Linked DNA regions of Saccharomyces cerevisiae S288C. The protein of the gene in region 4 purifies or fractionates together with the protein of the main gene of each other region. This does not show direct contact. Each region holds a gene or a part of one and is shown on either strand. Other genes may lie near its edges.

Region 1 (5,244 bases), on a different chromosome or scaffold from region 4:
TTACACCAGACAACAATGAAGAATATATAGAAGAACTGGATTTAGTTCTGTGAATATATATAGAGCATATAAATAACCACAACTTGTAAGAATATTTTACTTGACACACCTATATCATCACGTCACGATGCCTTCATAGATTATGATGAAATATAAACAGAACCTGCTATTGGAAAAAAAAGGGCAGGAAAAAATTTTGTGAAAGTGAGTAAAAGAAAGATGAAGAGCGAGACATGGATAATAAGAAATAGATGTCACTAATGGACAATTGGAAGACTGATATGGAAAGTTACGATGAAGGAGGCCTAGTTGCTAATCCGAACTTCGAGGTTCTGGCCACTTTCAGGTACGACCCTGGTTTTGCACGCCAGTCAGCGTCAAAGAAAGAGATCTTTGAAACTCCAGACCCTCGATTAGGTTTGAGAGACGAAGATATTAGGCAGCAGATAATTAATGAGGATTACTCAAGTTATTTACGAGTAAGGGAGGTTAATTCCGGCGGTGACCTTCTCGAAAATATTCAGCATCCTGATGCTTGGAAGCATGATTGCAAGACCATTGTGTGCCAGCGTGTAGAAGATATGCTACAAGTCATTTATGAACGATTTTTTTTATTAGATGAACAATACCAAAGAATAAGAATAGCATTATCATACTTTAAAATTGACTTCAGCACGTCTCTGAATGATTTATTGAAGTTATTGGTTGAAAACTTGATTAATTGTAAAGAAGGAAATTCAGAGTATCACGAAAAAATTCAAAAAATGATCAACGAAAGGCAATGCTATAAAATGCGGGTACTTGTCTCTAAGACAGGAGATATACGAATTGAGGCAATTCCAATGCCTATGGAGCCTATCCTAAAATTAACAACCGATTATGACAGTGTTTCCACATACTTCATCAAAACGATGCTCAATGGATTTTTAATTGATAGCACAATAAATTGGGATGTTGTTGTTTCATCTGAACCATTGAACGCATCAGCTTTCACCAGTTTTAAAACCACTTCAAGAGATCATTACGCTAGGGCGAGAGTTCGCATGCAAACTGCTATAAATAACTTAAGAGGTTCAGAACCTACTTCTTCTGTCTCGCAATGCGAAATTTTATTTTCCAACAAATCTGGCCTGCTGATGGAAGGTTCAATAACAAACGTGGCTGTAATTCAAAAAGATCCTAACGGTTCTAAAAAGTATGTGACACCAAGATTAGCAACTGGATGTTTGTGCGGAACAATGCGTCATTATTTATTGCGGCTCGGCCTTATTGAAGAGGGAGATATAGATATAGGAAGCCTTACCGTTGGCAACGAAGTTTTGCTTTTCAATGGCGTCATGGGATGCATAAAGGGAACAGTGAAGACAAAATATTGAGCAGACGACAGATTTTCATATCAATGAAGTTTTTTTACAATAGTTTACAAATCATGATTTTACATACTCAAATATGTGCAGGTTGATACAGACAACGTACGTAGAAGACAACAAACAGAAAACAGCGGTTTATACATTTATTTAAATGACATACAGTGGAGAAGCAGAGAAAGGAAAAGGAGTGCGATGAGAACAGAAGATGAATACTTCGGTTGTGTTGGTTCCACGTACACATTAATAGCATTAAAAATTGATCCTCTGAAATTACTTATGAGTTTTACGTCTTTTGGTATTTGGCGTTTTTCCACTGGCACCAATTGTAATGTTAACCTTTGGAGGGACTGGAAAACCGTAAGACTTTGCTACTTTGGCTAAATCCAGCTTATCGATTTGATAGACAGTTTTCAAAGAGTGGGAAGCGTACGCTTGTAAATAAGATCTATAACCATCCTTGGCTGTTTGATGTAGATAATAGTTGGATTTAATTAATTTTTCTAATTGTGATTGAACGTTTGCAATTTTGTTTTCCGGGAATTCGTACTCATTTAATGGGACCTTGGAAGCCTTTAGATATCTTAAAAACCCTAATTCATTAGGTGTTAAAAACATTAAAGATTTACCCTTACCTTTAGTGCCTCTTGCGGTTCTTCCGACTCTATGAATATAATCTCTTGGATCATCAGGAGGGTCGAATTGAATGATCCAGTCCACAGCAGGGATATCTAGCCCTCTAGCTGCGACATCTGTACAAATCAAGATACCTCTTTCCGCATTACAGAATTCGAAAAATGTATTTGTTCTCTTTTGTTGTTTTTGCTTACCGTGTAATTCGAGGACTGGCAAATCAATATAGTTCAATAATTCAGCGTAATATTTCACAGAGTTACAAGATGATAAAAATACAATAATTTTCTTTTTTTGATTTCTTTTCAAGAAAGAAAATAACAACAAAAATCTCTTATCACTGTCACATACCACATAGCCTTGTTCTAATCCATCTGCGGTGGAGTTGTCGGTTTCAGGAACGACATTAATGAAAAGAGGGCCCGGTCTCAGCGAGATTCTAGCCAAATCCTCAACTTTGGTCGTTTGTGTAGCTGAAAATAACATGGATTGCCTATCTTCGTTTGGCAAGATCTTAATTATCTGCCTCATTTCATCTTCAAACCCAATTTCTAAGATTCTGTCCGCTTCATCGATAATCAAAGCCTTCAAGTTCTTGAATACAAATCCTTTTGTATTTTGTAAGTGATCCAATAATCTTCCAGGGGTAGCAATCAACATGTTAACACCTTTCATCAATTTTTCGGCTTCCTGTCTTCTATTTGCACCACCAATGACAATACCAAATGTCTGTGAATGGAATTCCATTAACTCTCTTGCCACTCCAAAAATCTGTAAAGCCAACTCTCTTGTAGGCGTAATGACAATTATACCGGTACCATTTCTTGGTTTGAATTTCAAAGAATGCAATAGTTCAATAGCAGGGATGAGAAACGCTAGAGTTTTACCAGAACCTGTCTTGGCAGCACCAAGAACATCCCTACCGGCCAAAAGAGGTGGGATAGTCCTTGCCTGAACAGAAGTCATAGTGGTAAATCCCATCTTTTCAATGGCCTTTAAAGTTGGCTGTGATAACTTTAGTTCTTCGAACTTTTCCACACAAGTAGTTTGTTCTCCCTCAGGTGCGGCATTGTTTTGTTTTGAAGTGCTCTTTTCATCTACTACAGGTTCTTCTGTAGATTCAGAATCTCTAGAACGTTTATTTGACGGGGTAGCCATACTTCTCCTGTTAATATTGCTCAGCTTATCTAATTATTATAGTATACAGTTATCCAATAGCTATGTACTCAAGTACCGTGTATACACTATAAAATCTCATCTCATCGCTAAAGCTAATATTGAAAAAAAAAAAAAAAAAAAAAAGAAAAAGCAAATAAAAAATTTTCAATTCGGGTAACGAAGAATCGACTCTCGCCGGGTAAACAATTCTTAGTCGTCATACACTCCTCTTTACGTTAAGAAAATAGAAGTAGCAGCGCTTTGTAAAGCATTAAAGCGTCATGGATTGCAAAATACACATAATATATCACTTGTGATAGTGAGAAATGGAATGAAGTGGTTTAAGATGCTCTTTTACCAATAAACATATTGCGCCTATCAAATCATTTTCCACCCCTGTTAACTGATACAGATATAGCCTTACATATAACTTTTGCACTCCCTAAAATTACCATGGCTGTTCACCGCCTGCTATCATCCATGTTTTTACATACATCTATTAGGTTTGCCATCTTAGCCGCCGAAGCTATCGTTGCCGGTACAGGCGCTCCTTGAATAACCCCCTCCCCCCCACGCTATTCTTCAAATTCCGATTTCAGCTTCTCTTTGTTTTTCCTTTTTTGGCACCTCGGAAAAACCTCCACGTGTTAGGTTATTCCGCCGATTCCACGGGTGGGGTGCTACCAAGACTCCTGAAAAAGAAACTGTATGACGAAAAGAAAAAAAAAAAGCTGCTTGAATTCCAACACCGCTTTCTTGTTCTGACAATAGAAAGGGGGATTCCTAAAAAAAGAAAAAGAGGGCGGGGTTTATCATGTACTCAGAATATGAAAACGTGTCGAACGGGGATGACTTCTTCTGCTTCTTTACTTCTTTCTATTTAGAGTGACAGTTTTTTTATTTGTTTTGCTAACTTGTTTATTTATTAATTTCTTGTTTGCTCCTTCAGTTACCTACCACGACTGTCTCAGCCAAACCGCGATATTTTCATACAATTGACATTACAACAGTTCAAAAAGAAAAATACACATCCAGGATATGACTACAGCTAGTTCTTCTGCTTCCCAGCTACAACAGCGCCTGCCGGAAGAAAAACCTTGGCCGCAACTGAGTGGCAGCAATGCAGACGCTCAAACCTTCAAATGTAAATACGTAACCAACCACAACTCCTTGGGCGATGGGAATTTTAGCGTCGTGAAAGAATGTATGAATATACACACAAAGGATTTGTACGCGATGAAGCTTATTAAGAAACAAACTGTCAAGAACAAAATTCAACTTATTCAAAGAGAGTTCGACCTTTTGAGGTCAATAAGCGAGAAAATCAGAGATATGGAAAAAAAGAATGAACATTCTTTGGACATTTTTGAGGGGCATCACCATATTTTACAACTTTTCGACTATTTTGAGACGGCAGATAACATTGTCCTGATCACTCAGCTGTGTCAGAAGGGAGATTTGTATGAAAAAATTGTTGAAAATCAGTGTTTAGACCTCGAAACTCAAGTTACCTCGTACTGCGCCTGTTTGGTGAGCGTTCTCGAGTTTTTGCATTCTCAAGGTATTGTTCATAGAGACTTGAAAGCAGAAAACGTCTTATTCAGATTGAGAGTGAACGAAAACGAAAAAAACCTACAGGGTGAACACCACGGAGATTTCAAATACGATCTCTTGGCACACGACCTAGTTCTCGCCGATTTTGGTCTTGCTGCTGAATATAACACAAGTAAGGTAAACTCGTTAAAGGAGTTTGTTGGAACCATCTCGTATATTGCTCCAGAAATCGTCAAGTGCAAAGGTGTCGGTGAAATGACTCCTGATCAAGTTGGCAAACTAGACAAGTATGGTTGTCCGGTGGATATATGGGCCCTTGGTGTACTGACATATTTCATGGCCTTCGGCTATACGCCCTTTGACTGTACCACAGACGACGAAACTCTGGAATGTATTTCAAAATGTGACTATTACGTCGACGAACAAATGATGCACGACCCTAAATACGAACAATTTTGGAATTTTGTTCAATGCTGTTTTACTATTGACCCGGCCGTTAGGCGTTCTGCTAAGAATTTGAAACAGCATCCCT
Region 2 (4,569 bases), on a different chromosome or scaffold from region 4:
TAATTCGAACAAAAATCCTCTCACTATTCAAAAATCGGAAGTCAGTAAAAATTGATTGTTGGCTACATGTAATATATTATATGGAACTAATACATATCTATACTCATTTTACTTGGTAAAAAGTGTCACACCTACATCAAAATCACACTGAAAACAAAATATTCTAAACAATGCTTTCACTGATGTTTTTTCTTTGCTATTTTCTTTTGATGGGTTCTTAAATGCCTTAACATGTTACTCTTGACATTGAAAGATTTGTTGCAATGCTCCCAAGTACATTTGAAAGGTGTGTCTCCCGTATGTATTAAGTAATGAGTCCTCAGTGTTGAAGGTCTCGAACAAACCTTCCCACAGATAGGACATTGTTTCCGTAGCTTTACCACAGCGCGCAGTTGCTTTTGTATAAGATCTAAGTCGGTTTGTGTTTGGGATAATAGCGTCCCAGGATTTTGCCCTATATGCACATTCGGGAGGGAGTACTGCTCGTTGCTCACCGCTCTGTGGTTTTCCTCCTGAAAATGCTGCATTGATGGAGGTACAGATTGGGCAGTATAAGAGGAAGCTGCCGTTGAATAAATAGGGCAACAAGATTGACGTTCAACGAACGTTAAAGGGAAAGGTTGCGGTGTTGCTATAACCGGCGAAAAGATAATAGAGTTGGGACTTGATCTCCATACGGGATCCTCTGTCTGATGCAGAGAAGAAGGTGCGTAATGGTAAGCGGGAGGTGGTAGTGCGGCCTGGTTTATTTCAGGAGTAAGTGGAGCGTGCATAATCGACGAACAAGGTGGAAGATGCACTTCCCTTTTGGTCGTGTTCGAGACTTCCTTTGAAGATTGCGCATAGGATCCCCCTATGTTAGACGATGAACATTTCATTGGGCTACAAAGCATAGATTCTAGCGTTTTTGTTCTCCACATTTAATTAGTGTTGAAGATGAAAATTTATGTATATTAAAAGTTAGAAACGGGTCAATGAAGACGTTTGCTTATCGTATTGGATCCTTGCAATGCCCTCCAAAAAGAAGAAAAAAGTTGGACCAAGAAAACAATTATAATTTTGTAATTTGAAATATCTACCAATGAGGTCAAAAGAGCGACAACAACTAGCGCTTATATAATATAAAGAATTCTTGGGACTGTATCTCATGGCAACCAAATGCCGTTCATATTTAGGGTTTCAGTGGGAAAAGATTTCCGGTGCTTTACGCTCCTTGTACAAACAAGTGCTGCGAAACTTTCTGTGGAAATCGTGCCTTTTAAACCATTAGTGAAGGCTCCAGATAGAGTTGTCACAGAAAACAGCGTGGCGGACTTATTTTTTTGCAACGATTTTCTGGAAACAATAGAGGAAGAATTTTTGGCGTACGAAAAGGAACGATGCCCCCAACACCTCAACAATACTACGGAAGTTTCTTCGAGCGGAAAAACATCGAAATACTAGCTGTTTCTGGATATGAGAGTGGGTATGCGTGGCAATGGAACTCAGGGAGTTGTTGCTATTTCAGTGAGTACGATGGATCAGGGTGTTTATATCTCAAGAACTACCAAGTTGAAGAGATGAAACGTAGTTCGCTTGATAGCACATAAATGGACGGCTGACTTGTTGTACACCATATATATATATATATATATATAATTTTACGGCTCACTTCTGTACCGCTTGTGAAAATCTTACCGCACAACCCCCGGTGTTCTATTAGCTTTGTTCGATTTTATTAATCTTTGCCAAGAGATACTACTCTCCGGGTTCTGGTGGAGACAATAGTATGTCCTAGCAGCTAGACAAAAAAGCCTTCAAATGGTCTACGTGCGGTGCAATTTTTCTTGGAGAAGTTCTATATTGTCTAACAGATACTTGGAACTGAGCAAGTTGTCAGAATAGTCGGAGAAGCGGACGGAAAATCCATATTATGCAAAGAATTTGCTTAGAAACCCGTTACATATGCTTCGAACAAAGTGACTACATGTTACAATTAAGACGCCTACTTAAACTGCAATGAATAGTCACCCATAGGTATAAGAAAAAAAAAAAAAATAAAAGAGTACATAATATACATACAACTAAAATTAAAATGCATAGAAACCTAAGAAAAAATATTTGTTATACCAAAAAAAATACCACAAATGATACGTAAGAAGATTATTGCAACATGGGGACTCTTTCGCATACAACTGTAAACAGACTTGAGGAAGGAGGGGAATCCCCTCAGGAGTACCTGACATCTATGAGTAGGTTTCAATCAAAGTATCACGTAGGTTACCTGAAATGGATTCTGGTTGGGCATCTTGCAAGCGGAAAATACTTTCAATAACACTCAATTCTGGGGCTGTAGTATCCAGACCTGTAACTGCCAAGTAATCGTTCACAACCATACCGGCACCGACAACTGAACTACCACGGTTAACGGTACCAGCCACCAAAGGAACTTGTAATAAGGAGGACAATTCTTCTTGATCTTGGACACTTGTTTGTGGATGCACTAACCCACCTTGATTACTTAAAGAACAATATGACCCAACTAAGATATTACCTGATATGGTTTGACGGAAGACCTCAACGCCTAGTACATCACTTATCAATTCTTCAGTTTCTCTGTCGATATCTGGATGCACTAAAGCAACGTAATCATTACAACAGATGACGTTACCCAAGGCAGATAGTCTTTCCTCTACCCTTTGAATCTTAACGGAATCCGGCAAACTATTTCTTAAATGTTGTAATTCTTGATCAGTAGTTTGGGTTGGAACTAGCAGACCTCTACGGTTACCCGCGGTCATTCTACCGATGATACGCGTACCAGCAATAGTGGTATGAACGATGGGAATAGCATCTCCTAATTCAGCTTCAAATGCAGAGTAAAAGTTTTCAGAACCACCAACAGCAACCAAACAGTAAGTATTCGTTAATTTGGAGAATACACCGATTTCATTGGAGTTTTCAAATTGAGTCCTGGTAGCCATTATTGTTTTCTAGAGTTAGTTGAATTATGCTCTTGTTCCAAATACTCTGTCGTATTGCTTCTTGTAATTATACTATAAGACCAACGAGGGATGAGGCTTCTTTTAATTATGCAATATTGAATATTGCGTTACATACAGTAAAAGAAAAAATCTGCACAAAGGAATATGGGTTTAAATCTTTAATTAATAAAAATTTTCCGAAAATTTTCGTTTGGCCCTCGGAAAAAACGGGTAATGCTCATCCATTAGGATTTCGTCCAGAATGCCTATATTATTACATAAAGTGATGCTAGTAATGTAAACCAGAACTACTTCTATAGCTTGTTATAGGTGGCCCATGCCAGTGAAATAGGTGGTTGGTTACTCTTTTTTTTTTCTGGTGGCGGCAACCTATTTTTGTTCTAGTGCCTACCAAACTAATTCCTTCCCATAATTTGAAGGCTTCGCAAGCTTAGTAGATGCAAAACTCTTTCTTCATTCTTTGTCTGATCTTGCACCTTACATATTATTCCAATAGGACCTTTATCACAATCAGCGCATATCAAATATTTCAAGCACTTTTTAATCTTCCAGCTGGAATTACCATACTCAAAGACAAAATCACTCTTATCACTCAAATCCCCTAATATAGAAGAAGGAATTTCTCTAGATACACCAACATTATCAAAGTCCCAAACATCAGGGACGACCAAGAAGTTGCTCTCGCTGGGGGTAGCATCTCGCATAGTTCTGTTTTCCAGCAACTTGAATTCGCTGTGCACCTGCTCTGGTAAGTTTATTATGTTATCATCGTTGATGGTAATAACTGCACTATGACAGCCCTCAAAGGAACACGTAGCCTTGCTCATGTTCTCTGTTATTCCCCCATTTTTCCAGCCCTTTTAATTGAACTTTCTACTCATACCAGTCAAGTTTTTGATATGTACTTCATTAATTAAAATGATCGATATATAATCGTTCAGTACGACAATGACGATATTCACAGTACTACTAAACTAGCGGGTCCCCGGCGCCCAGTCAGCCTTTACGAAGAGAAAGGAAGAATGATATGGATATGCTGAAAAGTATTTTGATACAGAAGAAGGGAGTTTTGAGTTGTCGGGCTCATCGTGCTGGATCAAGTGGTTCCCTACCTGGCGCGATCTATAGTGTCAGACGGCTTGCATATATGCTCACGCGTTCGGACGCGTGAAAGGCTTCAACTGAAAAAAAGAAAGATCTACATCGTTAAACCAAAAGGTTTGCGAACTGACTAAAAAATAAAATTCTTATTGGTTCCACTTCTTGAAATACATCATTTTTCCAGCCAATTCGTTGAGGAGAAGAACATTCTGTTATTGCTGTTACAGAGAATTATATGTTTTAGTGAACCTCAAGACAGAAGAGAATCGAAAGGAAAAGGGAAAATGGAGCAACATCTCAAATCAATTCCTCTACAGGACGACACTAAGAAAAAAGGCATACTATCTTTTTTCCAGAATACAACTACGGTAAAGAGTAATAAGTTTCTCACGAAAGAGAAGGATGTCATCACTCTAGATGATCCTAAAGAGGATGTCAGTGGACCTATGATAGAAACTGTTAAACAAGAAACCATGAAAAGCAT
Region 3 (6,071 bases), on a different chromosome or scaffold from region 4:
CCGGGCGGCAAACTAGCCACCGAAACAGGCGTTCCTATATTAAATGGCTGCTGTTGTTGTTGCTGTTGCTGTTGTTGCTGAGTTAACAGTGGCTCGTTCTTCTGCTTCAAAAGATAGGCATTGTTCATCTCCTGATTAACAGAGCCATTAATTGTATTTACAGGCATCCCTTGAGGAAACATTCTTGCTCTATTAACCTTTGGCGAATACACCTGAGGTCCCATGTTTTGCTGCTGGTGTTGTTCAGAAGCCTGCCTCTGAGAGAAAAACTGCTCACCTCCTACAGCTAATACCCTCGGTTGTACATTCATAGATTGCATAATCCTTTTTGACCCTTTATAAATGTATAAAATTGAGTTGCCTGTTTCTAATCGTTCGAAGTATTTCCAGTATGAAAAACAAGGAAGCCCTGATAACGAGACACGCTAATAAACTTCAAACTGATCTTTCTTGTCAGTTATCATTCTACTACTATAATTGAAAAGACTCAATAAAGAAAATATCATAATGATGAAAAAAGAGCGAGCAGCGGGTAAGGACCGAATTCCGTTTGGAATGACTGGTATAATGAGATTTACCTTATACTATAGAGAGGGCTATATCATTACCGAACTTAAGTTTTCTATTGGAATATTATACTTTATAAACTAAATAATTACCCATCTATGTTGTTTCCCCAAGAATGTTTGCTGCCATATAATAAGAACAAAAAAAAAAATAACAAAAAAAAAGAAAAAAAAAATCACTTGTAATCTTAAATTAATATTATACACCGGTTGTCCGTTTTTACCTCTATGCCGTCTTCTCAACTTCTTTCTTCTTTGGTTTTTCTTCCCCTTCCTTTTCAGGTGGAAGGACGAACCAAGGGATTTTACCTCTATTAAAATCATTCAATATTTGCTTAGAAACACCAGACTCATCAGGCTCACCACCCTTCAGTAATCTACCTTGTTTCCTTGCCAGAATTTCAATAAACTCCGTGGCATCCTTCCATCCTGAGATCTCGTAAGTTCTTTCCAAGTGCTTTACCTGACAACGTTTTAAAACACCTGGAATATATTGTTCTGGGTGTGTGACGTGTTCGACTCTGACAACACCTCTGAATAAAATGTCTTCTTCGGAGTCTTTACTAGAAGGCGGCACAATACCTGGACAATCAATCAAAAAAATTCTTTTCATAAGAGTAATATATTGCCAGACCTTAGTTTCACCAGGGATTGGTGCAACTTGACACACCTTTTTCTTTCTCAATGTGTTAATGATGGACGATTTACCAGTGTTTGGATAGCCGATAAACCCTACAGATATTTGCTTTCTATCAGTATGCAACTGTGAGAACTGACGTAGCAACTGAATTAACGAACCTTTACCGAAAGAGTTGGTAATAGATGCGTGAAACGCCAAAGTTGGACGTTCCTTTGACAAATGTTTGACCCAAGCTGCCTACTTGTAAAGTTAGAATTGAAAAAAAAAAACCTTCTGTTAGTAAAAAATACATTTTGTTTCATAATAGGTAATCTTTTGCCCCAAGAGAATGTAATAATCATTGTTATAGCCGAGATTGATTGTTTCGAAGAGTGGATTAAACTAAAAAAAAAAAAAAAGTAGAAAATTGTGAGGATCTTTACTACGAACATATTGTATGGAGCCCGAGATAAAGTCTCAAATAACAAAAGCTCAACTCATAAGATCCTCGCTGTTCTAAAAAGCGAAGGTATACCTTTAAAACAAAGGTTGTCCTTCTAATTTACCCATGAGGCTTCCCCAGAACGGGGAAATATGGATAAGCGAACAGTATTACTCTTCCAAAACAGTAACAGACACTTCTGTAGATAAGTTTATCCTAAAACGGATAGAGAAGCACCCTGACAAAAAGGTTTGGTAATAAAAATCATACTCTATCGAAAAAAAAAATCTCTCGTGCTATCCTCTTGGTTGGAAAGAATCAAAAAAAAAAAAAAAAAAGTTAACATACTGCAACCCAGGTAGGTACCAAATCACACTTATTAAGAACATAAATTAAATGCTTGTGTGGTGTTTCCTTCTTCATATACTCTTCCACGGACTTACAACGGGTACCCAATGGATCCCTTGCATCTAGAACATGTATTACCACGTCAGACGAATCGATGACTTTATATAATTCGTTCCAAATACGTTTGGATTGACCCTTACTGAAAATAGCTTCTTTTGCTGCGGAGGTCCACCCATTTTCTTTGTCTTCCTGGTTCCCCATTAGTCCTAATGTGGCATCTAAGACTTGCTTTTCCTCATACTTGGTAATGTCTTCATTTGTAGCCTTGACCAAGTCCTCTAGATTGGATGCAGCAAGACGTGGTCTCTTTCTTTGGGCTTTGGGCCCAAACGCATCAGCATAACTTTCGGTATCCAAAATTCTGGCTTTTGGGGATTCATCTGCGTCCTTTTCTTCCAACAATGACATGGGAAGCTTATTTCTTCTCAGAAGAACTTGATATGTATCTTTTTGGGTTTCACCCAATGCACTTCTGAAATGCTGCAGTGCGTCCTGAGATATCACTCTTGTGTTACCGAACCAACGACGATCTGGTTGGACCCTCGCATCCGGTATTGTGGAGTCCTGGAAAGAAGCGGCCCTAATTAAATTACCTTTCTTATTCCTGATCTCCTTCCCACTAGTGTACATATTCAGGAATTTGACTCTCTTGGAGTCTCTGTAGAAATTTTCACCCTTCACACGAAGATTACCATCTTTGGTGTCACCTTCACGAATACGTCTAGATTTCTCTTTCTTACCAGTACCCATTGTATTATTCCTCCCCTGATATTTAGTGGTTTTGCTGCAAGTCAACAGATCTTCAAAGTTAACACTTAAGGGAAAGTACTAACAAGTAGTAAATATCTTTTATATATTCTACGCTTCTTTATATGCCCAAAAAGAAGAAAAGTGAAAAATTTTTCTTCAAGCGAAAAATTTTTGCGATGAGCATCGGGCAAAAAAACGTGCTAAATGACAGGTTGTGTTTATATATTTGTTATTGATTCTATATTATAGTAAATTGGTGAGAACATTACCCAAGTCTTTGGACCCAGAGGATTGCTGCTTGATATCAGAGGGAGCATTGGCACGGCTTGTTTCCACACGACGTTGTTTAAATTCCCTGTGAGGGTGAGAATCTGCAGACTCTCCTTCTTTTCCGGCGCGCTTCCTAGAGTTCTTAATGTTTTGTATCATCTTACTTTGCTCCACGTTTCTAATGAATTCCGCGTTCAGTTTGTTGGCCTGCGAGATTTCCATCTCCAACTTGGCCTGTCTGATATCGTTCTCGCGGGCAATCTGTTCAGTCAAATCTGCCCATTTGAAACCTGGGAGGTACTTCACGTTCAGGATATCATCATGGTAGAAAGTACCTTTCTTGCCACCAATAATGTTCCCGTTCAACGTCTCCGCACACAATTTGGCGTCTCTTTTCCTAATAAACTCGGCCCAACCTTCTTCATACTTGTTTTTCTTGTTTCCTCCACCTTTAACTCTTTGCTTGTACTTTTGATCGTCCTCTTTCTTTAGAAATAGTCTATCTACCTCACCAAAACGAGTTAATATTTGTCTCATTTTTGCAGGTTTCATGTAAGGTGGAATACTGGAGAAGTATACCACCCCAGTCTTGTGTTTAGACTTCTTGGCGGCCTTTGATTTTACCAGTTGCCTTAGTTTTTCTGTTTTTAAATCCAGTGAAGTGGTGGACGAAGCTTGTTCTTCTACTTCTCGATCGAGCTTTTCTCCATTCTCTTTATCTGGTTGTTCTACATCCTCTTTTTCTTCTTGTTTTTGCTCTTCTTCTATGTCTGACTCGTTTTCACTTTCGATGTCTTCTACCTTCTTACTGAAGATATCATCCTTACTAGAAATTTTTTTCTTGGTCTGAATTAAGACGTTATGTTGATCGGTTTCCTCATCTGAGGAAAAGTCTTCAAAGTCACTATTTACTTTTTCACTCATGCGTAAAAATTTACTTCACTCTGCTGCAGTAAACTGTTTGCTTTGTACTTACATAGCAATGGGTAGTTTGTCAGGTTGAAATTTTTCAAAATCTTAATAGCGAAAGTTTTACTGCGCAATGTGAGAAAAGCTGGCTATAACGAAGTAATTCAAAATAATAAAACAAGAGAAAGAAAAAATTTACACGTCATTGCCTTTGGAAATGTGATCAGACAGACCCAATATCACCGTTTAAATATTCTTCACGAGATAATGTAGTTTGTCAATTGAAACGCTATTTGGTGGCTGGCTAATCAAATATGGTCGATGAAGGGGTTGTCAATCCAGCAGCCCTTAAAGAATTGTCGCTATCTGTTTGTTCCTATAATTAATTTGCACTGAAAAGATACATGTGCATTATTGCAGTATATTATAAGGAATTCCGGAGTTTTCTAGTAACTTTCTAGTCGCGCAACCGAGAGATGAGTACTACAACGCAACCTATTTGGTAGTGCATCCTACACATTGTGAACGTTTTTGGTTCATATTACAATATTACGATATTACGAATTTTACCCTTTCTTTAATACTAACTTTGATCAGAAAGCACCTTTATCAATATGGCCACGTCTGGGAAGTCGGTCATAATCAAAAGGCTACAGGCTTTGGGGTTTGAAATATCAATATACGAATTGTGAGACTTTGTTTTATCTTAGGGACGAAAATGGATGTGTGAAATTACTTATGGAAGGATCAATAATAGCAACGTTTGCTAATGTGTTAAGATGGCAAAATGCTACTGGTACGCCTCGTTGAGTATCCATCATTATTAATAGCGCCAAAATTGAAACATTAATTGCGGTTTTAGAACAACTTTAGAATTACAGAGCAAGGTGATAAGATCTCAATAGCTTATGAAAAATAATAATTTTTTAGAACCTAATGAACGTGTCGAAACTTTCCGCAAAATATTATGTACATCTCTACTCAACCTTCTATTAGGATCATGAGAAATGTGTTAAAACAGAAAAAATGCACCCTCATAATAAAAAACTTGGCCAAACCAAACCCTTTCTAGTACATCGATATGTATATCACACAATAAAGTCAATGCAGCATAACTTAGAATCGAGGTAGCGACTCCCCGTATTGCTCAAAATGGAAAATTCTATGGAAATAGAATTCATATGACTCTGAGAACTAAAGGAACATTATGACGAACAAAATTGCTATGATGTGAGGAATAAGATGATACAGTCCTACCAAATACCAAAGATCGGGTCGTCGAGGGCGGTATCATATCTAGGGAGATTTCTTTTCAATTAGAGCATATTCATTATCAAGTAACCACCATTTGTATTTTTTTTTTCTTCTCAAGGTAGTTATTCTGTTCTGACGTGCAGAAGATGGGCGTAGCATTGACACAAAGATTCAGTGGGAAACTATATATCCATATCTCATCCTGGTTTGGAAAATGAAGAGCTGCATACTTATATGAGGGAAAGAAGGCTAAACAAAATATACGTAAAGCAACTATCAAGAGCCAATGGAATCTATTTTCAAAATTTGCGTTCTTCCAAAACATTTATCCCGTTTGATGCATTAATGAAAATTATGAACATTTATTTCCTTACCACACGTACATTGGGTGCTCTACTTTCTTTTTTATTTAAGCATATAAAATGTACACAGTAGTAAAATACCATTTTAAAATATTATTTGAACAATCATAGAACACTACGCAGGTATTCTTCTTCAAAAAGATAGCTTCAATGTATTTCATGTATCTGAAAACGCTTTGTCTTGCCATTAAAGATCTGGTGGCCCCGACAAAATAAAAAAAAATACTGAAGGATGCGAGGTTCGAACTCGCGCGGACAACCGTCCAACAGATCTTAAGTCTGCCGCCTTAGACCACTCGGCCAACCCTCCAAAGATTTATACTTTTTGTTGTATCTCAAAATGAGATACGTCAGTATGACATTTTGAGATCCTAAACGTTCATAAAACACATATGAAACAACCTTATAACAAAACGAACAACATGAGACAAAACCCGTCCTTCCCTAGCTGAACTACCCAAAAGTATAAATGCCTGAACAATTAGTTTAGA
Region 4 (4,658 bases):
TAGTTGTCTAGCGAGCTTAGCGCTTAGTTTTGAGTTGATAAAACTGTCGCTTTTAACACCGCAGCTATGTAGAAAATCCAGCAATGTCAGAATATCCGCTGAAGATCCAGTATCAACCTGTGCGAATTCTCTTTTTTTATAAAAATCTCTTAACTTTTTCCCCTCATTAGCTTCCTCGGCTGCCTCACTCTCTCTATTGTTACCTTCTAAACTTTTGCAAAATTTGATTGTATGTGTATCATCCCATAAAGTTTTTAAGTCACGATTTCGCCTGACGAATGTATTAAATATCACACCAAATACTGTAGACTCCATGTCAACTTTTTCATTATCATAAAAAAAGTCAAAGTTCTTTTTTCTCATATGATCCAAGCAATTTTCTTCTTCTTCCCTATCAGCTTCGGTACTGGAAGATGTAAGGTTTGGGATTAATGAATTCAAAAAACGCATTCTTACCATTCTGTGTCTCAAAAACTCATTAAGTGAGGTAAAAGAAGCTATGCAATGGACCGAAACGATAGTAGATGATAAATCAGTACCAATATTATCTTTGCTTGCATCGCCATCATAAACCAACTTAATTTTTATCTCTTTAGCCAGTGAAGATACACCACCACCATCGTGTAAACCGCAATCAACTATAGAGAAATTCTCCAGCCTTGTGAGAGCAGATTGTAGGATTTCTAAAAATCTGTCAATACAATCCTCAAATACCTCTAAAAATGATTTAGCAAGAATGAAATGGGATACCGTTGAGGATGTAATTCTTTTAGTTATGGAGGAAGCTAGCCCTGTAGAAGTAAATTCGAAACCTGACACGTCGAAATCTTCATGGAAAATACATTTTTTTAAAACAGACCAAATTCCCTTCCAATCCTCTTCAGTTTTGTCCGGAGTGGAAGGATTTTCTAAAATAGAAACAACGCCTTCGATTTGATGGAGCTCCTCTGTTATTGCTTCTTGCTCAACGTTCATCTGAGAAAGTACTCTATTAACTAGGTTCACACCCTTGTTTTTAATATAAGCTAGAGATAGAGTTCTGAAAATGTGTATTGAAATTTTCTTTGGTTTTACTGAATCAGGAATTTCCATATCAGTAAATTCGTAATCATATTCTTCATCACCCTCATCACATTCCTCAATACTGCTATGCAAATCCCCTTCTTCGTCAGAAAGTGAAATATTTTCATTCCCGTCTTCCTTTAAATCAATGTTATTGAAATCCACAGACAAATCCTTAACCAAATCAAAAATGCCCTCTCTTTTGATGGAAGGAAAGAACAGTTCGGAAAACTTTTTACAAATTAAGTCAAGCAACGAGAGACCACCAACCAACAGTGTACCAGCTTCTGATGAGTAAGTACCATTAGCGTTAGACGCTGTTTCTTTTTGGGCCAGGATAGATCCGATTAACTTAATAAGTTGATCATTGATTGCCTTTGCTGTGGAATTATTTATGCATGATACAACCCTCAGTAAAGCAATAAGTACGTATCTTCTTACGTCAAAGTCAGCAGCATTTGTATAAATTTCAACGAGAATTGGAATTAGACATTGAACTAGGGAATCAAACTTTTCCTGGTTAGAAATTACGCCACGGTCGCTATTTCCGGTATATTTATCCGCTGACAGTATTCTTTCATCCTCGGGAGGAAACAATACAACTATAAATCTAGAAATGCTAATCAATAAACTGTTTGGGACATAAATCAGTGTTTCATGTAACCCTGCGTTAGGACTTTTACTATAATGCTGGAATGATCGTGTTGCCATGTCGACAATGTCAGTTTTCTCTCTCAGTTCTCTTGAAAGTACATCACTACTCATCGCTAATACGGTTAAAATATCCAAACATTTCAGTTTATTCTCCAAGGGGGTATCCTGAATAGAAACTAGCTGAACTATTCTTTCGATTAAATCCAACGAAAACAAAGTCTCAAATTTGTCAACCCCATGCAACGCCCCGCAAATACCGTACATGGCATTTACAAGCCTGGTTAATATTGGTTGGTCTGTCGCATTCGAGAAAATTGGCTTCAGCGTTGGAAGTACTTCAACAATGGTCTTAAAGTCATCCGTTCGGATACTGCTACAGGCGTTCGAAACAATTGCGATAGCCTTCCTCTGCGCATGTATAGTTAAAAAATCGAAGAATTGGACGTAGATTGATAATTGGCCCGTTTTTAAAATGTCTCTCCCATGTACTCTAGAAATATATTCCACCGTTTCTAAAACTTGTTCTGCGAGGTCAATGTAACTGATCTCTACCAATTTTCCTTGTAAAATTGGTATAACGTGTTCATCAACAGCTATTGAAATAGATTCAGGGCAGACCTCAAAAAGATTATACATGCATCTACAAGCTTGCATTTGTAATTCTAATTCTTCCCGTAAAATTTTATCAGAGAGTATGGCAGCTATATTACCTATTAAGGTTTCCATCGGTATAATTCTATCGACAACCATTTGATTCATCATTAATATGTTTTCAGAAAGTTCTTTTAAACTCTCCATTGCAATATAAGGATCCTCGGAGGCATTCCCAGTATTCTCTATCAATTTAGAAATCCGCTCATTCCTTGCCGAACTCTCTGCGCTCCTCTCCATCCTTCCTCCAATCATCGATAAAATCTCGGGTAGTGTTCTTCCAACCGGGTGTTGCCCAAGTCCTTCACTTGTTTGTCTTCTTTGTTCTAGTCTTTGTGCGAATGTTTCCAAAATGTCAGGTAAATGTAGGGGGTTGCTGCCAAATTCATTATTATCGTGAGAACGTTCAAGTCCATCTTCTTCTTCATTTCTGTCTTCGTCACTGCCATTCTGAGTTCTATGATATCCATATAAAAGTCCAGAATCATCTTCATGATGGTAATCGTTATCGTCATCTTCACCATCATCTGCCTCAAAACTTCCGACGCTAGAAAGCATATGTTCATCTTCATCTTCATCAGGATAATAAGAGTACTCACCCTGTACATGGCCATCCTCATCATAGTCATCTTCTACCTGCGTATCCATCATATAATCACTGTTTTCGCTATGGGACTCATGTTCATCAAGGTTGTGCGAATTATTTTCAGACATGCTTGGCTACTCTTCTATTTTAAATGTTTATCCAAAATTTTCACACCTGAGATATATTGTTGTTAATAAAGCACACAGAAAGGAAAGTATCGATCCCAGAAAGTGGTCTTTCCCTGGGTATGATCAAAGCTATTCCCCTTTCCAACTACTGTTGGCTATGATCCCACAATTTGATTTCAGTTCAGAAAACCCAACCATTAGGACTTTACCCGGCGAAGGTGAAAGAAAAAATTTTTTTCCAGAAAAATGCGATGAGCTTTTGAAAAGTTGCAAATATTTGTAGTACTTTGGCTAAGCAGAGCTGATTCCTTTTGCTATACGTACATCACTGTCTATCGTCCATAAAAGATTTATTATAGTTGAATCATGCCAAGATCAAAACGTTCCAAGCTAGTCACTTTAGCACAAACCGATAAAAAGGGCAGAGAAAATAAAGAAAGAATTTTCGATGAAGTGAGGGAAGCCTTAGATACTTATAGATACGTCTGGGTCCTACATCTTGACGACGTAAGAACTCCAGTTTTACAAGAAATCAGAACATCTTGGGCAGGCTCTAAGTTAATTATGGGTAAGAGGAAAGTTTTACAAAAAGCATTGGGAGAAAAGAGGGAAGAAGAATACAAAGAAAATCTGTATCAATTGAGTAAGCTTTGTAGCGGTGTCACTGGTTTATTGTTCACTGATGAGGATGTCAACACTGTCAAGGAATACTTTAAGTCATACGTTCGTTCAGACTATTCAAGACCGAACACGAAAGCACCACTAACATTTACAATTCCTGAGGGCATTGTCTACTCACGTGGTGGTCAAATTCCAGCTGAGGAAGATGTTCCAATGATTCATTCTTTAGAGCCAACTATGAGAAACAAATTTGAAATTCCAACTAAAATCAAAGCTGGTAAGATCACCATTGACAGTCCATATTTAGTTTGCACTGAAGGAGAAAAATTAGATGTTCGTCAAGCTTTAATACTGAAACAATTCGGTATCGCTGCTTCTGAATTCAAAGTCAAGGTGTCGGCCTACTATGACAACGATAGCTCCACTGTTGAAAGCACTAACATCAACATGGAATAAGCTGAACTATTATTTGGAAGCCTTTTTTAATAGACCATTGTATAAAAATTTCTTTTTTTTGTATAGATATACTAAAGCAACGCTCATAAATGTAACATAGCTTCTTTTCAACTGAGAATTTATATTCATGCTAACTAAGCGTAAATCACTTTTGATCTTCACAGCTCTTTAGCGGCACGAAAGCAAGAAAAAAAGATAACACTGTATGTCTGGAAAAGAATACTATAAAAATACCTGTTTACATAAACCAATAAGGAAGAACGTGAGAGCAGGACCGTAAAAGAATTAATGTGTAAAGAATTAATGTGTAATGGTTATACTACTTAAAAACACCGTTTTCCTTCAAATATCCTTTTTCGTTGGAGTACTGTCAGTTGGAGTAGTGGAACTTTCATCACTTTCTTCGTCTGATTCACTATCACTTCTGTCATCCTTGAGAATACCTCTCCATAGAATCCTGTAAAGAACTCTAAAAATAAGGAACAGCCAATAAAGATTCA

Evidence for each region.
Region 1: the proteins of MRT4 (region 4) and HAS1 purify together in Saccharomyces cerevisiae (affinity purification with mass spectrometry; 5 studies listed by BioGRID, with this or other methods). This does not show direct contact.
Region 2: the proteins of MRT4 (region 4) and TIF6 purify together in Saccharomyces cerevisiae (affinity purification with mass spectrometry; 7 studies listed by BioGRID, with this or other methods). This does not show direct contact.
Region 3: the proteins of MRT4 (region 4) and NOG2 purify together in Saccharomyces cerevisiae (affinity purification with mass spectrometry; 8 studies listed by BioGRID, with this or other methods). This does not show direct contact.

Annotation. Positions count from the first base shown.
Region 1 is NC_001145.3:848,434-853,677, forward strand, and holds HAS1 (ATP-dependent RNA helicase HAS1), read right to left. Parts: upstream 3,159-5,244; coding exon 1,641-3,158; downstream 1-1,640. Other genes in the region: U2 snRNP complex subunit HSH155, read left to right, coding at 1-53; aminodeoxychorismate lyase ABZ2, read left to right, coding at 252-1,376; protein kinase TDA1, read left to right, coding at 4,197-5,244. UniProt on the Saccharomyces cerevisiae protein: ATP-dependent RNA helicase involved in 40S ribosomal subunit biogenesis. Required for the processing and cleavage of 35S pre-rRNA at sites A0, A1, and A2, leading to mature 18S rRNA.
Region 2 is NC_001148.4:590,107-594,675, forward strand, and holds TIF6 (translation initiation factor 6), read right to left. Parts: upstream 2,964-4,569; coding exon 2,226-2,963; downstream 1-2,225. Other genes in the region: YPR015C (uncharacterized protein), read right to left, coding at 177-920; guanine nucleotide exchange factor DSS4, read right to left, coding at 3,380-3,811; RLF2 (Rlf2p), read left to right, coding at 4,370-4,569. UniProt on the Saccharomyces cerevisiae protein: Binds to the 60S ribosomal subunit and prevents its association with the 40S ribosomal subunit to form the 80S initiation complex in the cytoplasm. Is also involved in ribosome biogenesis.
Region 3 is NC_001146.8:720,328-726,398, forward strand, and holds NOG2 (putative GTPase NOG2), read right to left. Parts: upstream 2,786-6,071; coding exon 1,976-2,785; intron 1,885-1,975; exon of another isoform or gene 1,611-1,884; intron 1,444-1,610; coding exon 793-1,443; downstream 1-792. Other genes in the region: CCR4-NOT core DEDD family RNase subunit POP2, read right to left, coding at 1-320; RNA-binding ATPase activator ESF2, read right to left, coding at 3,029-3,979. UniProt on the Saccharomyces cerevisiae protein: GTPase that associates with pre-60S ribosomal subunits in the nucleolus and is required for their nuclear export and maturation.
Region 4 is NC_001143.9:422,795-427,452, forward strand, and holds MRT4 (ribosome assembly factor MRT4), read left to right. Parts: upstream 1-3,447; coding exon 3,448-4,158; downstream 4,159-4,658. Other genes in the region: putative ubiquitin-protein ligase UFD4, read right to left, coding at 1-3,081; sphingosine N-acyltransferase LAC1, read right to left, coding at 4,501-4,658. UniProt on the Saccharomyces cerevisiae protein: Component of the ribosome assembly machinery. Nuclear paralog of the ribosomal protein P0, it binds pre-60S subunits at an early stage of assembly in the nucleolus, and is replaced by P0 in cytoplasmic pre-60S subunits and mature 80S ribosomes.